Linked DNA regions of Arabidopsis thaliana. The protein of the gene in region 1 interacts with the protein of each later gene in a pairwise test. Each region holds a gene or a part of one and is shown in the gene's direction. Other genes may lie near its edges.

Region 1 (5,185 bases):
GGAGAGGATTGACGGAAGCTTGGAGACGATCAACGGTGACGGAATCGATTGTAGTAGTTGGGCGTTTTGGTTTGAAGAGAGTGAAAGCTAAGATGACGATAACTATGGCGATTAGGAGAATGAGAAGGATAGTGAAACAGATACAGATTTTGCAGTTGCGTTTCCGCCGCAGTTTTTTAGCGGTTCCGGTGTTAGCAGATTGCGTTTCCATGGAAGAAGCGTTTGGTTTGGGTGGTGGTAACATGGCTGTTGCTGGCTTCTCCTCTTCCTTTTTATCATCGGGTTTGATTGAAAAATCACTCATAGTTATTACTCTCTTTGTTACGCTTTGTGGTTCTCTCGCTGTTGAGTTTCTCAGGGGTTTTGGTTTATCCTATAAAGGAGGAGACCACTATTTGTACGCGGATTCGTTACCAGTTTTTAATTACATGACTCAAACACATTTCATTTTAATAATTTGTTATTTTACATTTTAATATTTCTTGATTTTCCACGAGTATATTTTTTAAAAAAATAGTTAATTGATGAAAATTACATTTTCATAAATTGGGAAGAATTTGATGAGATACTAGTTTTTTTTTTTTTTTTGGTGTATGTCTGTAAATGGAATCTCAATTTAATTTTGTAACACACTTCTAAATTCATAAAATAAGTATTTAGAAAAATAAAATAAAAACGGATAAAAGTATAAAACATACATAATGTTCGTCGAACGTCGTAAAGACAGCTCTTTATAAAAATGGTTGTTAGTTGAATTTTATTAAAATCGGTATTGATTGAGTTGAGATTTGACCATTTTTAATAATGTTTCGAAGACGTGCATTAATTAATTCAGCTGGACGTGGAAGAAGGGAGATGATAAAAATAATAAAGTGAGGTTAGCGGTAGAAATCAAATACTTCACATGGCTTTTGTAAAGAGACCATGCTTGATGCATCATCCGTCGCTTTTGCCTAATTTCGTGTGGTTATTACGTAACATATTCAATGACTAATTCACCGTCTTTTTCTGGGCCCATTTCTTCATTTACACGGGACGACTTCTGGATTTTGGCCCGTTTAATCTGTCTCTCTTATTAAATTCATCATGCATTTGAATGCCCATTTGTTTTATTGACTTTTTGCTGTTGAGTTTCTGACATTTTTTTAATCCCACGATAGAAGTTATTAGAATCACATCATTGAAAAGTAAGTTTCCAATAATTTACGATACTTTTACCTAAACATTTACTCTATTTTTTAGTTTTTTTAAAAAAAATTATTAGAAAATTTTGAAAGTCAACTATAGTATTTTTACCAAAACGCATTGAACAATAGCATATGAATTAGAACATATTCAAATTCTCAAATAGATTGTTTTAGTGATTTAGTCCAATGTATTAGAACAAAATTTAATGATGTTTCATTTCTAAACCTTTTATCTTACAAATTGGATAACCAATCAATGACTTTTACTTATAAAATAATATGGCTGGTAAACAAAATAACAAATAAACATAAATATCCAATTCCAAAATAATAAGTCGATGCCGGATTTTGACAACCAAAATAACGGTGTAAGATTGTTATAGTGTTTGTAAACATGATTGATGGTCGTATATGAAAGCAATACTTCGTATAATTAAAAAAACTTACATGTGTGACTATGTGATGACGTTTTTTCGTGTAGTTGACTCATGAATTTTTTAAAAATACTAATAGTAAAACAAAATAATTAAATATTTTCGAAGAATTCTATCAAGCAAACTAATCAATTGTCACAAGGTTTATTGGGCTGGGCCATCCATCACAGCCCATAAAAGTTAATTTCTTTCAACCCCTTAAACGCTGCGTTTTAAAAATATTCAATATTAATTTTATCTTTCTACGATCTACGATGCTTCGGATTGGTTCGGCTGGTTCGTGCTCGAAATTGAGATTTTGAAAGAAAAAAAGAGCTCTGAATCATTGAAATCAGCTTAATTCCAATCTGAATCTGCAAAAAAGTCTTACGTCACACTCCCATGTAGTAGCCGTCACTTCTCGTCTTCCTCCTAGAGATTACCCAACTCTCTCGCTTCTTCTTTTTCCTCTTAGGGTTTCTTCATCCTTTAGGGTTTCCACAAAAATTCAAAACCTACTTGGAAATATTTGGGCTTGAAGAAGGAAGAATTAGATGGAAGGAAGAAGGATTACGGCAAGCCCTAGACCTTGTAGTGGAAGAAGAATTGTGGCTAAGAAAAGGTCTCGACCCGATGGATTCGTCAACAGTGTTAAAAAGCTTCAACGAAGAGAAATCTCTTCTCGTAAAGATCGAGCTTTCTCTATTAGCACCGCCCAAGAGAGATTTCGTAACATGCGTCTCGTGGTATGTTCTGAATTTTCAATCTTTTGTAATTTGCCCTAATTCCCAAACCCTAGAGATTGCTTCTCTCTCTTAATTGGGATTTGATTTGAGTACTAATTTAAGCTGCTCTTGCTTGATGAATTTTGATTTCAGGAGCAATATGATACTCACGATCCTAAAGGGCACTGTTTAGTTGCATTACCGTTTTTGATGAAGAGAACTAAAGTTATTGAGATTGTTGCTGCAAGGGACATTGTTTTTGCGCTTGCACATTCTGGTGTTTGCGCAGCTTTTAGTAGAGGTAATTATCGTAACTTGACTACTTACTCTCAGCTTTGTGTCTATGTGACTGATAGTATGATTTACCTTAAACTGCAGAGTCGAACAAAAGAATATGCTTTTTAAATGTTAGTCCAGATGAAGTCATCAGGAGCTTGTTCTACAACAAGAACAATGATTCTCTCATCACAGTTTCTGTTTATGCTTCAGACAATTTCAGCTCTTTGAAATGCAGATCCACTAGAATTGAGTAAGTTTTCTACCATCTACCAAATCGGTATCATGTCGTCTGTTGCGTTATTCAAACTAATGTGTGTTTCTGGTTGTAATCAACTATTAGGTATATTCTGAGAGGTCAGCCGGATGCAGGGTTTGCTCTTTTTGAGTCTGAATCATTAAAGTGGCCTGGTTTTGTTGAGTTTGATGATGTCAATGGAAAGGTGCTGACTTATTCTGCGCAGGACAGGTTATTTTTCTAGTCTCACAGCCTAAATTTTTTTTTACGACAAGTTTCATCCTCTGAGCCTGATAGCTGTTTCTGCAGTGTATACAAGGTGTTTGATCTGAAAAACTACACCATGCTATATTCGATATCAGATAAAAATGTCCAGGAAATTAAAATCAGGTAACTTTTCTCCATCTTTCTTTGACCCTTTTGTTGTTTCTTGTTTGCAAATATTGAGCAAGCTGCTTTTCTAACTGTGCTGTCCACTAGATTGGATTGACAGACTTGTGAATTTTCTAACTGTTGTGCCCATTTGATTCCCTGCATCAGTCCAGGGATAATGTTATTGATCTTCAAGAGAGCTGCCAGTCATGTTCCTCTGAAGATTCTGTCGATAGAAGATGGCACTGTTCTCAAGTCCTTCAATCATTTGCTTCACCGAAACAAGAAAGTTGACTTCATTGAACAATTCAATGAGAAACTTCTTGTTAAGCAAGAGAATGAGAATCTTCAAATTCTTGACGTGAGTTGATTTTTTGTCTGATTCAATCAATCTTTTAGCTGTTGTTTTACTTGTTTTCTTTATCAAGTTGGTTTCTGATTTACAAATTCAGGTCAGAAATGCTGAGCTAATGGAAGTTAGTAGAGCTGAGTTCATGACACCGTCTGCATTCATATTTCTGTATGAGAACCAGTTGTTTCTGACATTCAGGAACCGGAACGTTTCTGTGTGGAACTTTCGCGGAGAGCTCGTTACTTCCTTTGAGGACCATCTTCTATGGCATCCAGACTGTAACACTAATAATATCTACATTACAAGTGATCAAGATCTGATCATCTCGTACTGCAAAGCAGATACCGAAGATCAGTGGATAGAAGGAAATGGTAAGAAAAATAACCCCTCAAGATAATATTAACCAGATATTATAACCTAACAAATCTCATTGATGGATATTGATTATTGGTGTTTTGTGGGATGATCCAGCGGGATCAATCAATATCAGCAATATATTGACTGGGAAATGCTTAGCTAAAATAACACCAAGCAGTGGGCCTCCAAAAGATGATGAGAGCAGCAGCAGTAATTGTATGGGAAAGAACTCAAAGCAAAGAAGAAACGCTGTAGCTGAAGCTTTGGAAGACATAACCGCTCTTTTCTACGACGAAGAACGCAATGAGATATACACAGGAAACAGACACGGCCTTGTTCATGTGTGGTCCAATTGATTTCACATACATCGTCATCGTTAGCTGCTACTACTACTACTACGAATGTATCATTTGGTTTCCTTCAATTGTGTGTAGCGATAAATCTTTTTAACTTAGTGTCTTTGAGCAGCCATCTGTGTTGTAAACCATTTGTGGGCAAGTGTGCGCGTCAGAATGCCAGTTGTGTACACTAATACCATTGTACGTAACATTTGGGTTTTGACAATTCTATGAAAGACCCTTTATTCCACCTGTAAGGTCTCACTTTAATTTTCAAAATTGACTTGATTCAGATAGTTGAGCATCAACTTTGTATGATTACACAAAAACAAGCGATTGATAGAAAATCATCTCATTGCTACCACACCATTGTGTTTTACATTCACTTGAGAATACAAGCTTTACCAGTTTCTTCTGAAAGACTACAAATCTCTAAACCAAACATAAGACACTAATGTGTCGGAAACAAAGATAGATCAAATGTTTAAATTCACCAAGACGATGACAACAGATACAGCAATGAACTTCAGAACTGAGACTTGTCAAGGCTGTCAAAATATGGGTGATCAAGTGCTGTTTTTGCTGAAATTCTTTCGGCTGGATTGTACTTGAGCATTTTCTGCAATTGTACAAACATAAGCTCAATCAGAAAGATTTAACCAAGCAATTCAGCTTAGGAAAAAAAGAGGGAAGCAGAAGCAAGAGGTAACAATATTAGAGCAACTTTGCAACAAAGCTATGGTCATCAGGGAGTTATTTACCGTGAGAAGATCAACTCCTTGAGGTGAAAGAGAAGGAACAGCAAGAGTTAAGTCTTGCGGCTCCCACTTAGGGTAAACATGCCAGTCACGCAGTGTGGAAACACCCGGCCATTGCTGCTCAGTTGGTGTTCCTAGCAACCTCCATGAACCAAATAGGAACCATTAG
Region 2 (4,901 bases), on another chromosome or scaffold:
CAACCAATATTCATTTTGTTTTTGTGGTCAAAAGTCAAAACCAATATTCATTGAAAACGAAAAGATAATGAAACTTTACCATATGAAAATACAAACAGCTCTGTAGAATATATATATATTTTTATTAATTAAGGGTAACTGCATTTCTGCTGAGATAGTATTAGATAAATATCGTTGAAAGGTAACGGAATTTTAAATTCATAGTTATTGACCTTTGACTCCAAAAATCTTATCAAACTTGGAAACTTTGATAGAACAATACGTCACAAACATTATCGAAATTCAGTAAATACAAAATGGTTATTATTAACACCACAATGTCTCAAAGATTAAATTTGTAATTTATTTATAAAGTAGTACATAAAATATGGATCTTAGACCTCTTCTATACGATGTCAACTTCAACGATTTTTTTTTTTTTTTCATTTTCATTGCACCTTGAATTACTTATGAAAAGGTTTCACGAGCTTGGATAATAGTCAAAATACCGTGTTAACTGTTAACGATACCATACATCTCGCCTTAAGAAGATAAAGCAAAAACTAAATAAAAAGATAGATATAACAAAATAAGAGAAAAAACACAGTTTAGAAAGATAGATATGCAAATGATTTGATTAGATTACTCACAAATTCTAACGACTGATAAAGCTCTTTTCTACCGTCCAAATAATGTTTAAAGATGGCCTTCACACGTGGCAATTAATGAGTGGATTACAGCTGCCAAGATGCAACTCGCAATATAATAATCCTTTAGTTGCACGCTAAAATCTTTCGGCGCGACTTAAGCTTCGATGATTTATCAAAATTCTAATCAATGCGTGAAATATGTAAAGATAACATATGGTACGATCAAGACCTTTATCCATAATAATAATAAGTGTCTTACTAATCTTTTAGTATTTGTTACATTTAGATTTATCTCATGCTTTGAAAAAGGCCATCAGCTAAACGATAAAACACTTGTAGATGAATAAAAATTATGATAAACCAACACGTCCAAGAGAACGGACGAATAATATTTTTTCCGATGAGATAAAAGAGCCCACCCACCATATCAGTTCTGGTCAACGGACAACAAATAAGTAATGCATTAATCTCGGTAATAAACTACTAGTAATAACAATGGTATTAATACACTAATTTCATGATTTAATGTGCAAAGATATACTCCCACGTGCGTCAACACGTGCTCCGTGAACCTCTAGATCACTTTGTCGACAGCTTTCTCGTTTTCCTAATTTATCTGTTCAGCTTATTCAGATAAACATACATCCTCTTCTTTCCAGTACAGTTTTTAACTGAAATGTTATGTTCGAAGAACAGAAAAAGTATAATTATATTCCAATGAAAAAGTACTACTATATATTCCTAAATAATATTTCGTGGAAATGCGTCTAGGTCGTCCTTTATTTGTCCCACTAATTATATTCCATCGATACAATTTCAAACCAAAATTCATATATCTCGTCTAAGATAATTATTGTAGTGTTCAAGTTTTACTAGTCAAAAAAGAAAAAAAAAAGTTTTAGTAGTCTAGTTAAAATCGTTTATATGTTCTTTTTTTTCGTATTAGCAAACAACTAAAATAATTCAATAGAGATAATATTAATATTTTTCTTTGTGGAATATAGGATTTTATAACGTGTAATTGGTCAGATAAATTGTATATTAATCAAAAAAAATATTGAACACGGAAATTAGCCTGTGCTTCACAAAAATCAACTTTACCTTCAAAAATTGTCAATAGTTACATACAGAAATCTATCTTTTAAAACGTAAAGTTGTTTTTTTTTGGTGACGTACATTTGTAGAAAAACAAAGAAATAAAAACTATGACGTACATAGAGTTTTACTACAAAGCAATTTAACATCCTTTGACCAGAGGAAAAAAATAAACAAGTAAAGTACTGAAACTTTAGAACATTTAATTAACTTCAAAACACTAGAAAACAAAACAAAACTAGAAACAGTTTTGAATTTCTTGATTTTTTAATCTAAAATATTTCCTTTTATGAAAATCTTATCTGAATAATTTGGACTACGGACGTCATGTAGAAAGAGAAACCATTATTACTAAATTAATTAAGTTTCCAAAAGCTTTAACCCAAGTAAAAAAAAGAAGAAGAATAAAACAGAGGAAAGAGAGAGAGAGAAGTTGAATTCGACATCCAAAGAGTTTAACTTTCAGACCTGAGGAAACTCATTACGCTTCACTTCCGATTCGCAGAGAGTTTCCAACAGACCACAATTGAATAAATATTCTTAATCTTCTTTTTTTTTGTTCTTTCTCTTTCGTTAATCCAAATCCGTAAGTACTTTCTTCTTCTTATTATTATTATTATTATTATTATATAATCTCTTCCTTGTTAAAGATTCTCCATTGTTCTCTCCTTCTTCTTCTCCGCTAAAGGAATCATATTCAGATCAGTGATTCGTTTTTCTGGGTTTTCTTTTTTTGTTTTCCGAGTCAAATTTGGAATCTAAAGATCTGACTTTTGAAGCTACCAAATTTGTTTTGGCGATTGATGTTTCAATAAAGAGACAAATTTTTGTTTTTCCTTCTGAATCCATTTTTATCAATCGAGATTTGGATCATCTAATCGTCTTTTGATTTCTCAGAATCTCTCTCTCTCTTTTAGCCATTTTGCATTTCGTGTTTGGTCTCGTCTCGATCTGATTTCTCTAACATCGGAATCTGTACGGAGAAGATGGTGGAAGATCGGACATATTTGATGTCAAGGATTTTCTCAAGTTCTCGTCTTTCAGAATCAAAGTGGCCATACATGTATCCACAACCAGAAGATTCCTCTGAATCTAATCTCATCAATGGCAAAAGAGCATTGGAGAATGATGTTGATGAGCTCAGACAGAGCAAGTCTCCCAGATTGATGGGATTTTCAATTCATGGGAATGAAGCCATTGAAGAAGATGAACAAGAACAAGACCAATCTGATTCTAACAACAATGGTAATAGCGATGGCGATTCACTTATCAATGATATTGGCAGAGACAATTCTATAAGCTGTTTGATTCGTTGCTCGAGGTCTGGTTACGGTTCGATTGCTTCTTTAAACCGGAGTTTTCGGTCTTTGGTGAAGACCGGAGAGATTTATAGACTCAGGAGGCAAAACCAGATTGTTGAACATTGGGTTTACTTCTCTTGTCAGCTTTTGGAATGGGTTGCTTTCAATCCTTTTGAAAGAAGATGGATGAATTTGCCTACAATGCCTTCAGGTGTTACATTCATGTGTGCCGATAAAGAATCTTTAGCTGTTGGTACGGATTTGCTTGTGTTAGGCAAAGATGATTACTCTTCTCATGTTATATATAGATATAGTCTTTTGACTAACTCTTGGTCTTCCGGTATGAGGATGAATTCTCCGAGGTGTTTGTTTGGCTCAGCGAGTCTAGGAGAGATTGCGATCTTTGCTGGTGGTTTTGATTCTTTTGGCAAAATCAGTGATTCCGCTGAGATGTATAACTCCGAGCTTCAGACTTGGACTACACTTCCGAAGATGAATAAACCAAGGAAGATGTGTTCAGGTGTTTTCATGGATGGGAAGTTCTATGTGATTGGAGGAATTGGTGGAAATGATTCGAAAGTGCTTACTTGTGGTGAGGAGTTTGATTTAGAGACGAAGAAATGGACTGAGATACCGGAAATGTCGCCTCCAAGGAGCCGGGAAATGCCGGCAGCAGCAGAGGCGCCGCCTCTTGTTGCGGTTGTGAATAACGAATTGTATGCTGCTGATCATGCTGATATGGAAGTGAGGAAGTATGATAAGGAGAGTAAGAAATGGTTTACTTTAGGGAGATTGCCCGAAAGAGCTGACTCGGTTAACGGTTGGGGATTAGCGTTTAGAGCTTGCGGTGAGAGGTTGATTGTGATTGGTGGTCCTAGGAGTTCAGGTGGAGGGTACATTGAACTGAATTCATGGATACCATCTAGTGATCGAAGTCCGCCTCTATGGACATTGCTCGGTAGGAAACATTCATCGAATTTTGTTTACAATTGCGCGGTGATGGGTTGCTGATAAAAGGGTTTCAACAATAACTTTCAGATGATTTTTATGATTCTCCTGCCGTTGGAGATGTCGAAAGTTGCAGTCTTTTTTTTCTTATTAATTTTGGTTATAAAAGAAATTTATTTGAATTCAATTGGATACAATCATCTTGGTGGTATTGTTAGTTTCTTGGAAAGAACAGAAACAGGTCTTGTAATAAGTTTGGTGGAGAAAGTTCAGAATCTAGAGTTTTTCAGTTCTGCTATACTATTTGTTAAAATTTTTGTTTATATTCGTTTCATTCATTTTTTCGCAAAGAGACTATATTATGTGTTTTGTGTGTTCTTCTTTCAATTCTCTGATAAGAGAAGAAAAAGAGCTTTTAATCTTATAGTTGTTGTTTGCAAGATAACTTGATCTTTTGCTTGCAAGTAATACCATAAACTTTTCAATTTTTCTCCTTTCTCTTGGTTCTCTGTTTTGGGATTTTTGCTTCCTTCTTCAGAAATTATGGCAATTAATTCTTTGAAAAGTAAAAAAAACAAAGATAGACTTAATCAGGAAAATGGCAGTTTGCATCTGATTTTGACGTGTAGGTAGGTCTCTGTCATTTTCTCTTTGAACTCTCAGCCTTGCATGACAATACCTAAGATGGGCTTGCTATGCTAATTTCAAATCTTTTATGCATACTAAATGATCCAACAAGGCAATCACCCATCTCTATCTAAAACTTCAACGATTTTCAAGCAAATCTTCAATTAAAATATTTAAAGCTAAAGCCATGATAAAACTTGCAAATGAAAGATATATGGCCAAGAACGAAGGAACAAAATCATTTCAGAGCTTAAACAAAAGAGTCACAAAAAGATTCAGAATACTGATTGTGTCCAACTAA

Evidence for each region. Proteins that work in one complex are often made in the same cells at the same time.
Region 2: the proteins of AT3G54190 (region 1) and AT1G14330 interact in a two-hybrid assay, tested with the Arabidopsis thaliana proteins (one large-scale study listed by BioGRID).

Annotation. Positions count from the first base shown.
Region 1 is NC_003074.8:20,060,850-20,066,034, reverse strand, and holds AT3G54190 (Transducin/WD40 repeat-like superfamily protein), read left to right. Parts: upstream 1-1,873; 5' UTR 1,874-2,154; coding exon 2,155-2,346; intron 2,347-2,478; coding exon 2,479-2,626; intron 2,627-2,703; coding exon 2,704-2,854; intron 2,855-2,944; coding exon 2,945-3,070; intron 3,071-3,148; coding exon 3,149-3,229; intron 3,230-3,379; coding exon 3,380-3,572; intron 3,573-3,663; coding exon 3,664-3,934; intron 3,935-4,034; coding exon 4,035-4,276; 3' UTR 4,277-4,617; downstream 4,618-5,185. Other genes in the region: AT3G54200 (Late embryogenesis abundant (LEA) hydroxyproline-rich glycoprotein family), read right to left, coding at 1-304; CDKB1;1 (cyclin-dependent kinase B1;1), read right to left, coding at 4,785-4,877, 5,020-5,158.
Region 2 is NC_003070.9:4,889,510-4,894,410, reverse strand, and holds AT1G14330 (Galactose oxidase/kelch repeat superfamily protein), read left to right. Parts: upstream 1-2,078; 5' UTR 2,079-2,710; coding exon 2,711-4,036; 3' UTR 4,037-4,342; downstream 4,343-4,901.